Sus scrofa: one gene and its partners. The protein of the gene in region 2 binds, or shares a complex with, the protein of the main gene of each other region. Links are inferred from orthologs where the notes say so. Each region holds a gene or a part of one and is shown on either strand. Other genes may lie near its edges.

Region 1 (4,318 bases), on a different chromosome or scaffold from region 2:
GCAGGACTGGTGGGTAGAAAGAAAGAGAAAAAGAGAAAACAGACTAGAGACAACCTTTGCCTAGACCTGGAAGCCGTCTTCTTGGTCATATGAAAACAACCCGTCCAGATGTTTTACCCATTTGGCAGCCACTCAGCTAACCCTCGTGATGACACCCACTTGGCTGCCACACCAGCAGGGCGCTTTTCTCCACCAGAGGAGACGCAAGGAGGGAGAACGCGGCCAATGGCTCCAGCTCCCACGGGTGGCTGGGGCCCACGTCAACACAGCTCTCCCAGGGACACAAAACCACACCTGTGGCCTCGCTCCTACCCCCTTTCCTCACTGCCCACCCGTCCTCGCCTTGGCCTCCTTGCCCAGCACCTGTTTCCAGGTGTGAGTTAGCACCATGCCTTCCCCTGCCCAGCTCCAAGGGCAGAAGCCCTGCAGCAGGAGGAATCAGGAGGGCTGCCCCTGATGCCCAGGAAACAATGCAGCCCAGCTGCATTCCTGGATGCAGGTAAGAAGGGGAACGAGCAGCCCCTTGTCCAGAGCTCAGCTGTCCCCGGATCCCTGTGACCAGCAGGAGGTTTGAACAGGTGGCACGTTTGTACTGGCTCACCTCCCTAGCTGAGGGAAGATCCTACCTGATAAAGACCCTAAGGTCACTGCCATGGTAACAGCCTCATCTTTCCTGGGGATACAGATGGGGGGATCCTGGAAGCACCCAGAAGGCCACCCCCCTCACCCTGCTGCAACCAACAGACCCACCCGCAGGCTCAGCTGCCCTCAATCTCTGGCTGGGATCAAAGAGCCTGCATGGGAGCTGGAATTCTCAAGGATCGGTTCCCTACTTCCGGGATAATGGGAACGATGTTCTCTTCTTAGGCGGCTCCAAACTTAGAGACCCCAGGGGAAACATGACCCACAACACACCTTGCCAGCATACAAACAGACAAACGACAGCTAGGACACACCCTAGCAGCAGTGATGCTCCTGCGGCCCATCAGCTCAACCCATTAAGCTGGATAATTGGGCCTCACAGAAACCCAAGGAACTAGAAAACCAGGACTGGCTCGGTTGTTTACCTCCCCAGGGCTTAGGGCTTCAGTTACCCTAACACAGCTCTTGGGACACCTACCATGCAAATGCTTCCACCAGGTGGAATGTTGGGGGGGGGAAGAGGGGGAAACTCGCTAAGAAGTAAGGGCTCTGAGGACTTAACTACTGACTAAGGAGAGAGAAAGAGTTCCCTGAGTCTGACCAGAAACCGCTGCCCTCCCCCACTTCTCCCTAACCTTGACCTACAAGGCTGTTAAAGTAGCGAGCAAGACCTCTAGCCCTCCCTGGTATTTTGCCCAGGAGCGCCAAGAGCCTTGCTGAGTCCCAGATCATCCCATACTCCTTCCTGGCTGTAACAGGGCATCCAACAAAGCCTGATGACTCTAGGAAGGACTCAGACCTATGACTTAACCGATTCCCAGGGAAGCTTCTTTCTGCAGCCTGAAACACTAGATGCCCTGAAAGCAGAATACCCCAGGAGACGCCCCCCCCCACCCCCAACAGACAGATGAGGTCAATAAACTAAGAAAATGACAGGCAGCAAGAAGCACTCTTGAGGCTTCTGTGTGACTAAGGCTACATATCACTTCCATTAGTGAAATAACCAACTTCCCCCAGCCCAGACGGGAGAAGTGGGGAGAAGCTGGCAAAGACAGAAAAGTGTACATACAGCAGCTGAGGCTGAAAAGTTCTACTGCCATAGCTGGCAGGTGGCTGTTCGCGTCAGTCCCTGATGTGGTTTCATAACCTGCCTCAAACCAGAGCCTGCAGCAACTCTGTTCTGTTAACCACTTTCTCGCTGGTAGTTCTTTCCTACTCCTTCCCTCTCTTCCCCTCTTGCTCTGAACACAAATATCCCTGCCCAGCCTGTCAGACACCTAAGCCAAGGCCACAGTGCCAGCAGCCAGGTGAGCACTTTCGAGTCTCTCCCCCAAGTCAGGGCAGCAAATCTTTCTCTGGGTGAGGAGCACAAAGCATCCAAGCCTGCAACCTGGACCCCAGCGGGGAGTCCCTGGCAGCACGCCAGAATGCCATTCTCATTCTGCCCACCCCCTAACCCGGAGGGCTACCGTCGCTCGCTTACCTCTCAGCTCTGGCCCTGCCTCCGGGACTCTGGGGGGCAGTGGGAACGGAAAGATGTCGAGTACAGCAGCGAACCCCTAACTAGCAAGGGGAGAGGGCGAAGCGAGGAGGCGGAGTCCTTACTATTGTTGGGGTTTTTCTGAGTGAGACTGCAAGCCGAAATGGGGGGCCTCCGCTCCGTTCCCCAGCCTGGGACCTCTCACTCGGAGCCTGGCCCGGCCTGGAGCCCCACCCCCCGCGTTCACCCAGCCCTGGAAGCTGCCAAACCTTTATCCCCAAAGCCCAGCTGCTCCCCGCCCCCCACCCCCAGCCCGAGCGCTCCTCCTCGACGCTCCATCCCCGGCCTCCAGTCCCCACTTGCCCTTTTCCCCATCCCTTCGAGTGATGCACCCTTCTCGGCTGATGCACCCCCTCAACCTCCGCTCAGCCAGTCCGGGACCCCTCCAGTCCCAGACGCCTCCTTAACAGCCCCCACCTTCTTTCCCGTCCCGCCTGCTAGCCCCCGGAGGCTCCCGGTTAAGCCACTTGGAGGCCGCTCCTCCGGACTCACCGTGCGGGGCCGGACGTCGAGGGCCCGGGAGGGGTGCCCGGGGGCGGGGGCCGCTGCTGCTCCAGCAGCTGTAATAACCCGCGGCGGCAGCCACCCCGCTGGCAGCTCGGGCCGAATCAGCGCCCGGCGCCGGCCCCCATTACGTCACCGCTCAGCGCCTGCCCGCCCGACGCCTCCTGGGAGTTGTAGTTTTTCTCCCCTGCTCCAGCCCAGGCCGCTGGGGCCGCACGGAGGTTTTTAATAGTACGTGCGCGTCACAAAGTTCAGATGGTATCGCCTTGGCGCATAACAATTCCTGCCTTGGCATCCGCGCTCCTGTGGAAATCACTCTTGCCGGGTTTTGCAGATGAAGAAACTTGGAGTTTTAAGTAACTTGCCATAGGTCCCTGCTCGCCCCCAAGCTGGACCCGAACCCAGAAATTCTGACCCCAAGTCAGATATTTTCAATTCCACCTCTCTGCCTCTGCCCTGGCCCTCCGTCAAACGACTAGCCTAGCTGTTTGCCTTGCTGGGCCCTCCTGGAAGCGGGTTTTTTCACGATGTTTTTTAGGATAAGAGTCTGGCGGGTAGAGAACGCAGTCTGTGGGCAGACTGTCTCCTGCTCAGTTGCCTCTGACCCGGGCTGGCCTGGGACCGGCCACATCCTGGGCTTCACCACATTAGATGTGGGAAGAGGACATGTGACTTGGGAAGACTCCCTGCTGAATAACTACAACCCTGAGTCCCAGTCCCAAGTCAGCTGTGTGGTTTGGGGTGGGAGGGTCTCTAGTCTGTAGTTTTCACATCTGCAGGCTCTAAAGGCTAAAGCACAGGTTTCTCCTGGCACAGATTTACCAGGTAGACTTATCAGGCACTCCTCACCACCTGCATAACCCTAGGCCAATAACATCTCTTAATCTCTGATTCCACACCTGTGTAAACCTACCTCTGAGGTTGTGCAAATTCAAAAGAATGTATCTCAACAGAGTTCCTGTTGTGGCTCAGCGGCAACAAACCCAACTAGTATCCACGAGGACATGGGTTCGATCCCTGGCCTCGCTCAGTGGGTTAAGGATCCGGCATTGTGGTGAGCTGTGGTGTAGGCCGCAGACACGGCTTGGATCCCACGTTGCTGTGGTTCTGATGTAGGCCGGGCGGCTACGGCTCCTATTATACCCTGAGCCTGGGAACCTCCATATGCCCAGGGAGTGGCCCTAGAAAAGACCAAAAAAAAAAAAAAAAAAAGTCTTTCCCCCCTCCCCGAAGTGAGCCTGCTTAACTCCTTCACCTTTTCTCTGGGATTCTTCCAGCCTCTCTGAAGTTGATCAGGGCTCTGCTCTTTGCCAGTTTCCTTACTCTCTGTGAAGTTCAGTAACCCAGACTGGATCCACCTCACAAACAAGGGCCGACAAACACATAGTCTAACAGAAAGATTGCTGGATGTGCTGTGCGCTATTAACAGCTTTTGTTATCAGGTCAGTTTTTTTTGTTTGTTTGTTTGTTTGTTTGTTTTTTCACAATGGGAATGAACAGAGTAAATGACTCACACACTACATTCATGGTAAATAGTGGATCACTTTCTGCTTAATTTAGCCTGAGTCTCTGTCATCATCTTTCTTCTCTAGCTCTCTGCCCTCATAATTACTACATCTTCACCAAACATCC
Region 2 (3,392 bases):
AGGTGGGGTAGTGGAGTGGATGTTTGGGAGAAAAGAACAAATTTGATGCTAATCTTACACTTTAGGGCAGACAGGGAAGAAGAGCCAGGGAAATAGGAAAATGGTGCGAGAGAAGGGAGGAGAGCTGCGGAGAAGTACCTCAGCCCAGAGTGGAAGGAGCTTGATTAGGAGGGATGAAACTGCCTCAATTCAAATAGCCATTGGATAGGATAGGTCACCAGTGACCTGAGAGCAGTGTCCATAGCCTGGAGGGTAGAAGGCAAGTGGTTGTGTGGGTGGTAAGTGGTGACATGGAAGCTGCAAGTATGAGGTTAAAAAATGTGAATGCAAGGTGGTTTAAGAAAGAACTGAATCAAAGGAGGCTAAAAAATAAATTGTAAAAAATTATCATGGGAGACCTTTCACCCATGTCCCCTTGATGAGGGCAATGAACTTAGGGTTTCAGTCAGGCTAAGACAGCTTCCTGTACAGCTCTGGAATGTCCCTCAGTGCTCTGTCCTTTCCCAGTGAGTAACAGTCCCAATAAACATTTCACAGGGAAGCTATAAGGGTCAAGCAAGATAATATATGAAAGAGCTTTGTCAACTAAACTGTTATACAAATATTAGTTGGTAGTAAAGTGCATTGTTTATTTAAACCCTATCTTCTCGTAAAGGAATGTAAGGTATTGTGGAACTACTGGCTCAAAGAGCCGGGAGGTGGGGGAGGGGGAGGGAGCATGTGAATGAATGAGTGAGACACAGTCCCAGTTCAGAAGCTGCATTTCCCCTTAGAATGGCTGTGTGACTCTGCAAGGCCAAAAAAAAAAAAAAAAAAAAAAAAAAAAAAGCCTTAGATTTTTACATAACTCTTGTTAGCAGGGTTTTGTGTGGCCCACAAGGAGGACTCCTTGTTGATTTTGCCCAACAGTTTCAGTTCCTTTTGGAATGCAGAAAAGGGAACGCCGCAGAGAATGTTTATTGTTTAGGTTATCAAGATAACTCTGATGTTGTTGCAAAGTTTCGTGATAATAGTAATAAACATTTAATAGTAACAGGTGCTATCAGGTTATGTCACTAGTATGTGATTGATCTTACCTTTGACTCTAAAGCTAGTATTTTAGCCACATTCTAGTCCAAATAATTCCAAAATGCCTAGGTCAGGCATTCTTATTATTCAAGTCAATAGGTCTCTGAGAATGGTGTCAGACATAGTTAAGGTTAGTGGCCGTAAGTATAGTTATTGGTTCTTTATAAATACTTGACATGTTTGGAAAAGTGTCAAGTGAATGGGTACTTCCACATAAAGCAGTTCTTGGGATTTCCCATTGTGGCTCAGTGGTAATGAGCCCAACTAGTATTTATGAGGATGTGGGTTTGATCCCTAGTCTCACTCAGTGGGTTAAGCATCCAGTGTTGCTGTGAGCTGTGGTGTAGGTTGCAGACAAGGCTTGGGTCTGGGCATTGGTGCAGCTGCGGTGTAGGCTGGCTCTGATTCCATCTCTAGCCTGGGAACTTCCATATGCCACAGGTGCGGCCCTAAAAAGCAACCAAACCAAACCCAAAAAACAGTTCTCAAGAAAATTGGGGGATTTAGTTCTGAATAAATTAAGAGAAAGCAAATTAAATGAAGTTTCCTTAACAACAACTCAGATTCCATGCTGGTTTCCATCGTGGGGATGGCCCTGTACACAGGATATGTCTTCATGCCTCAGCACATCATGGCGATACTGCACTACTTTGAAATTGTACAATGACCAGGATGTGACCGGAATCAAGAGGTTCCTTAGGGAAGAGCCACCGTCTGAAGTTGGAATGAGACCTCATTCAAATGTCGTAAGAAACTCTTCTAGATGTCAACATAATCAATCCTACAAATATAAAGACTAAAATTCATGAGTAGAACAGGAAAGCAATCCTGACTCATGTGTTGTGTTCTTTATTTTTAATTTTAAAAAGGAGCTCTTGTATAGTAGTTTTTGTCTATTTTAACATTGTAGTCATTTGTACTTTGATATCAGTATTTTCTTAACCTTTGTGACTGTTTCAATATTACCCTGTGAAAGCTTTTCTTAATGTAACAACTTTGAGTACATTTTAATTGCCTTCTATTTCTAAAACCCAAAGTCATTAGTTGGGCTCTACCGTTCTTTCTTGCTATTGTACGGCAAACATATCTGCCTGGATATATTTCTACTCTTGACCAAAGTTTTGTAAGAAAAATTCAAGATTTTGGGCAGGGGGCTGGGGAGGGAGGATATTTTACTGAGAACTATTTACAAAAGACTTATCTGTAAGTTTGAACTCAGGAGTACAGTTTTAGCTATCTAGACTCTACTCTTTAACAGCTTTTGCTTTAAAACTATTAAAGTGTTTCTTAACAATGAAAAAGAAAGATCTTGCTAAAGTTAAAATAAGGAACATTTCACCTTTTAAATATTTAATTCTTGTGTGGACTCATTTCCAGAAAATTTTGGTGATGATTCTTGTGACAAATGATGGTTAAGTAGCATTATTATGTAATGCTTAGTACTGTAGAGTTTTTAATAGAAGGTAAATCAGTTTCCTCTGAGCACCATTAATAACTGCGAACTTCCTTAAATTTAGTTCCATGATTGTAATGGGTGCTGCAAATGCGTTTGCACATTGCATATGATGAGATGAATTGTTGATAAAAAATTATAGCAAAAAGAAACGTAAACTTGGTTAAAATTCTTCCATGCTTTGTATTGTTTTTTTTAAAAGATTTTTATTCCTTAAATGTAAAATGACTACCTGATTTTTTGATGTAAACTCATTAAATTCAAAGAGAGAAAAATCAGCTGATGTTGCACTACGTTGTTTTTTTTACCCCCCTCAATAGTTAAATATTGATGTAATAGTAGTTCTATTTCTGAATCAATTGCTATGGGAAAATACGCAGTAATTAGTAAGTATATCTTTCTTTTTTTTTTGGCCGCCCCATAGCATATGGAGTTCTTGGACCAGGGATCAGATCCGAGCCTCAGTTGCCACCTAAGCCACACCTGAGGCAATGCTGGATCCTTAACCCACTGTGCTGGGCAGGTATTGAACCTGCGTCCAGGGCTTCCAAAACACTGGCATTCCCATTGTGGTACAGTGGGAACTCCTGCAGTAAGTATATCTTAACATGTCTCTCAATATAAAAGTATTGCTTATTTTATTTTATTTTATTTATTATTTATTTATTTATTTATTCTTTTTGATCTCTTTGTCTTTTAGGGCATATGGAGGTTCAATCGGAACTGTAGCCACTGGCCTATGCCAGAGCCACAGCAATGCGGGATCCAAGCTGCGTCTTCAATCTACACCACAGCTCATGGCAACACTGGCGGGATCCTTAACCCACTGAGCGAGGCTAGGGATCAAACCCCCGTGGATGCGAGTCAGTTT
Region 3 (3,646 bases), on a different chromosome or scaffold from region 2:
AATCAGCTGCATTAAAAACTGTTACTTTAAATCATAGGCTTTCAATGACTAGATCACTTTCGGCTCTACTCCCTGGTTTGTCTAAACGATTTACGATTTACCGGTAGTCTGAACTCCTGTTTCTGCTGGAGACAACAAGTAAGGAATCCGGAATTTAGGGAAATCATTGAGCCACTTGCTTTTGGGTCTTCTGAGTCCCCCTGAGTGGAGCCAACACCCCCTCATCATCTCTTTGAGACAGGTGTAGGCCTGTGGGAGGTGTAGCCATTAGGATTTGGATAAAATTTTCATATAAGGGAGCAGATAACTGACTTTTTAAAACCTCAAACCCATTTTTTCCCCTTTTTTGCAGGGGGGCACAACTGTGGCATTTGGAAGTTCTCAGGGGCCAAATTGGAACTGCAGCTGCTAGCCTACAGCACAGCCACGACAACACCAGATTTGAGCCATGTTCGAGACCAATGCCACAGCTCACAGCAGCACCGGATCCTTCATTCACTGAGTGTATCCAGAGATCGAATCCTCATCCTCATGGATACTAGTTGGGTTCTTAACCTGCTGAATCACAACAGGAACTACCAAACCTGGGTTTAATTTCATTTTCTTTCTCTCCTTCCTTTCCCTCTTCTTTTAAAATTCTTTTAAGCATTTTTTTTAAAGTATAGTTGATTTACTATACTCATTGTTGTTTAATTTCTGCTCTGTAGCATCATGATCTAGTCATACATCTATATACATTCTTTTTCTCACACTATCTTCCATTATGTTCTATCCCAAGAGACTGGATATAGTTCCCTGTGCTGTAGAGCAGAACCTTGTTGCTTATCCATTTTAAATGTGATAGCATTTGTTTTATGTTGGCAGTGCCCTTGGTAATACTGGCACTAGAAGCACGGGGCTAACGCTTCCTTAGTCTCATCCCATCAGATCAGAATCTTAAGTCAGGTGGAAAAGACATTAGAGGATGACAAGCTCTGACCCACAACTTACCCACATTTGTGGGAGAGAAAAATCTTTTAAAAAGACATTTCCAGGGAGTTCCCATCATGACTCAGTGGAAAGCAATCTGACTAGCATCCATGAGGACGAAGGTTCCATCCCTGGCCTCACTCAGTGGGTTAAGGATCCAACCATTGCCGTGAGCTGTGGTATAGGCTGCAGATAGGCTCTGATTTGGCTGACTGTGGGTGTGGCTGTAGCCAGTGGCTTCAGTTCCGATTCTACCCCTAGCCTGGGAACTTCTACACACCGAGGGTGAGGCCCTAAAAAGCCGCCCCCCACAAAAAAAAGAAGAGACATTTCCGATCTTGCTACAATTCTTAAAACCCCCAACGTGTAGCTCAACGCCCTCAGCCTCTGACTTTTACCCACTGTTTCTACTGCCCACCTTGCTTTCTTCACACCACCAAAGCCAAACTGCTTACAGTTTCGTAGCATCATTTCTTTGGCCTGATATATCCATCATTCCCTCTTTCTGAAAAAGAACCCTGCCCTCTCCTGTCAGTCATGTGTCTACAAGAATGATATTCATTCAGTCTCCTTAGATGCCCCACCCCTTCCTGTCATGTGTCTACAAAACTGACATTCATTCTAAGACTTCTTAGAGGCCCTGCCCCTTCCTGCCATGTGTCTGCAAGACTGATGTTCATTCTATGACTCCTTAGATGCTGCCCTGCAGAGTATGCCATCCTTCTCCTTTGCACTAAGTCTTGGCCTGGGTGCACAGCCAGTGTTGTCTTTTTTCTGATCATGTCATCATGCATCCCATGCCTCTCGCACCATCAGGCTTCTTGACCTGGGCCTCCCTTGGCTGTGAACACACCCACTAGGCTGTGCTGATGGATCTGGGTTGCCAAGCTGCACAGACACTCTGGAGGACACCAGAGAGCCCCTCAGGTGGCGTTCCCAGGGCATTCAGGTTCTAAACAGACATAACATACTTACCTTTCTTCCAGCTAAGTAGCCCCCTGAGGCTCCAAAGCTTTTGGTGAAAGTGCCCATGCACACATCGACGTCTCTGGGGTCCATTCCAAAGAATTCCACCACACCTCGACCAGTGGGGCCCAGGGACCCAATACTGTGAGCTTCATCTATGTAGAGGTAAGCCTTGTATTTCTTCTTTAGAGCCACGATCTGGGGCAGATACACGATGGAACCTTCCATGCTAGAGCAGAAGGAGAAATGTTGTCAGCAGGTGTGCCATCTGGGGCAGCTCTGGGTCACTGCCCCTTGCAGACAGCCTGCCCAGACAGACACCAGACAGGGATGACAGACACAGGCCATTCTTTTCTTCTCAAGGCTTGTTTTATTGTGCTGAGGCCACCCTCTCTATCAGGCTGCTCTGGTGTTATTGCACTTGGAATAGTCATTTTTATCCAATGGATTTAAGCCCTTTGAGTTGTTACAGCTAATTCCCGGGTGAACTATTAGCTCATGGCATTGGTGATCAATTGTATCGGTAAAACTGACTAGTGTAACTAAAACCACCATGTTGGATTCTAGGTACTTTGCTAGTTTTAATTAAATTGCTCTATACTAATGCATCTTTATCAGCCTGCTCCTATTTGCCCAGTTCTGTTTGACCTAAACCCAGTACTTGAATTACTGGAAATTAAAAGAAGGAATTCAGAAGTTCCTGTTGTGGCTCATCAGGTTAAGAAACTGATGTTGTTTCCATGAGGATGCGAGTTCGATCCCTGGACTCACTCAGTGTGTTAAGGATCTGGCATTGCTACAAGTTGTGGCATAGGTAGCAGACGTGGCTGTGGCATAGGCCTCAGCTTCCTCTGAAGGACTTCCATAGGCCACAGGCACAGCAATAAAAATAAAAAATAAAATAAAAGTAGGAATTCAAAACATGCAAAAGAACTTGAAGACATCTTAGTAGTCATTAAAGCCAAGGCTCTTTAATTCAGTCCTCACTGAAGTCAAAGGCTTACTTAAGGCACCTCATGGTGTCCTTTCTTTTCCTTTAGGGCAATGGTTCCCAATCTTGAGTGAGCAACAGAATCTCTTGAAAGATTTGTTAACACACATATTGCTAAGCCCCGCCCCCAGGGTTTCTGATTTATTAGGTCTGAGGTGGGCTGAGAATCTGCATTTCTACCAAGCTCCCAGGAGATTCCAGCACTGCTGGTTGAGAACCACTGCTATAGATCAACTTTTGATTTAGCCAGAAATGCTTAATTTTTCATGGTATTATCGTAAATGTCCATGGTTTTGTAATTTGCAAAAAACTCTTCAAGTCCTCCAACAGAGGGAAAAACAGGAAGTAAATAAGCAAGGAAGATTAACATTCAGATTGACGTGGCACCTCTGGAACCCAAGGGATTTAAGAGACCTTTTATCTTGAATCAGTTCTCAGAACACTCTGTAAGCTGCATTTACATGGCACATAGTTTTGACTGCACTGACAGGCAAGTTCTAGGAAAACACACAGACTCACACTCTCATGCCACAAAGGACCTTGTCAAACAATTCGAGCCACCTGTCAATTTAGTTCATGAACTAGTCAATCGATGCAAACAGAGAGTTGAACTTCTCCCTTCTTCTTAATTAGTTTACTTAGTCACTTTAATGTATTAAAAATAACTTGAGCCTTAGGCTGATTTAGTCAAACAGTCCTGCTGGTATGTAGTTACCCAGA

The links.
Region 1: the proteins of SPTSSA (region 2) and ORMDL3 are in contact, whole or in part, in a cryo-EM structure (PDB 7CQI), measured with the Homo sapiens proteins. The link is inferred for Sus scrofa from reciprocal best matches to the Homo sapiens genes SPTSSA and ORMDL3. Residues at the interface, in NP_612145.2 of Homo sapiens: Ile44, Tyr50, Thr51, Val54, Phe55; in NP_001307730.1 of Homo sapiens: Val36, Leu38, Ser39, Ile40, Pro41, Phe42, Ser44.
Region 3: SPTSSA (region 2) and SPTLC3 share a complex: the UniProt entries of both Homo sapiens proteins name them as parts of the serine palmitoyltransferase (SPT) complex. The link is inferred for Sus scrofa from reciprocal best matches to the Homo sapiens genes SPTSSA and SPTLC3.

What each region holds. Positions count from the first base shown.
Region 1 is NC_010454.4:22,409,636-22,413,953, reverse strand, and holds the start of ORMDL3 (ORM1-like protein 3), read right to left. Parts: upstream 2,825-4,318; 5' UTR 2,675-2,824; exon of another isoform or gene 2,600-2,674; intron 2,508-2,599; exon of another isoform or gene 2,486-2,507; intron 2,372-2,485; exon of another isoform or gene 2,248-2,371; intron 2,206-2,247; exon of another isoform or gene 2,126-2,205; intron 1,735-2,125; exon of another isoform or gene 1,712-1,734; intron 1-1,711. UniProt on the Homo sapiens protein: Plays an essential role in the homeostatic regulation of sphingolipid de novo biosynthesis by modulating the activity of the serine palmitoyltransferase (SPT) in response to ceramide levels.
Region 2 is NC_010449.5:65,323,079-65,326,470, forward strand, and holds the end of SPTSSA (serine palmitoyltransferase small subunit A), read left to right. Parts: intron 1-1,631; coding exon 1,632-1,735; 3' UTR 1,736-2,799; downstream 2,800-3,392. UniProt on the Homo sapiens protein: Component of the serine palmitoyltransferase multisubunit enzyme (SPT) that catalyzes the initial and rate-limiting step in sphingolipid biosynthesis by condensing L-serine and activated acyl-CoA (most commonly palmitoyl-CoA) to form long-chain bases.
Region 3 is NC_010459.5:21,845,864-21,849,509, reverse strand, and holds part of SPTLC3 (serine palmitoyltransferase 3), read right to left. Parts: intron 2,165-3,646; coding exon 1,945-2,164; intron 1-1,944. UniProt on the Homo sapiens protein: Component of the serine palmitoyltransferase multisubunit enzyme (SPT) that catalyzes the initial and rate-limiting step in sphingolipid biosynthesis by condensing L-serine and activated acyl-CoA (most commonly palmitoyl-CoA) to form long-chain bases.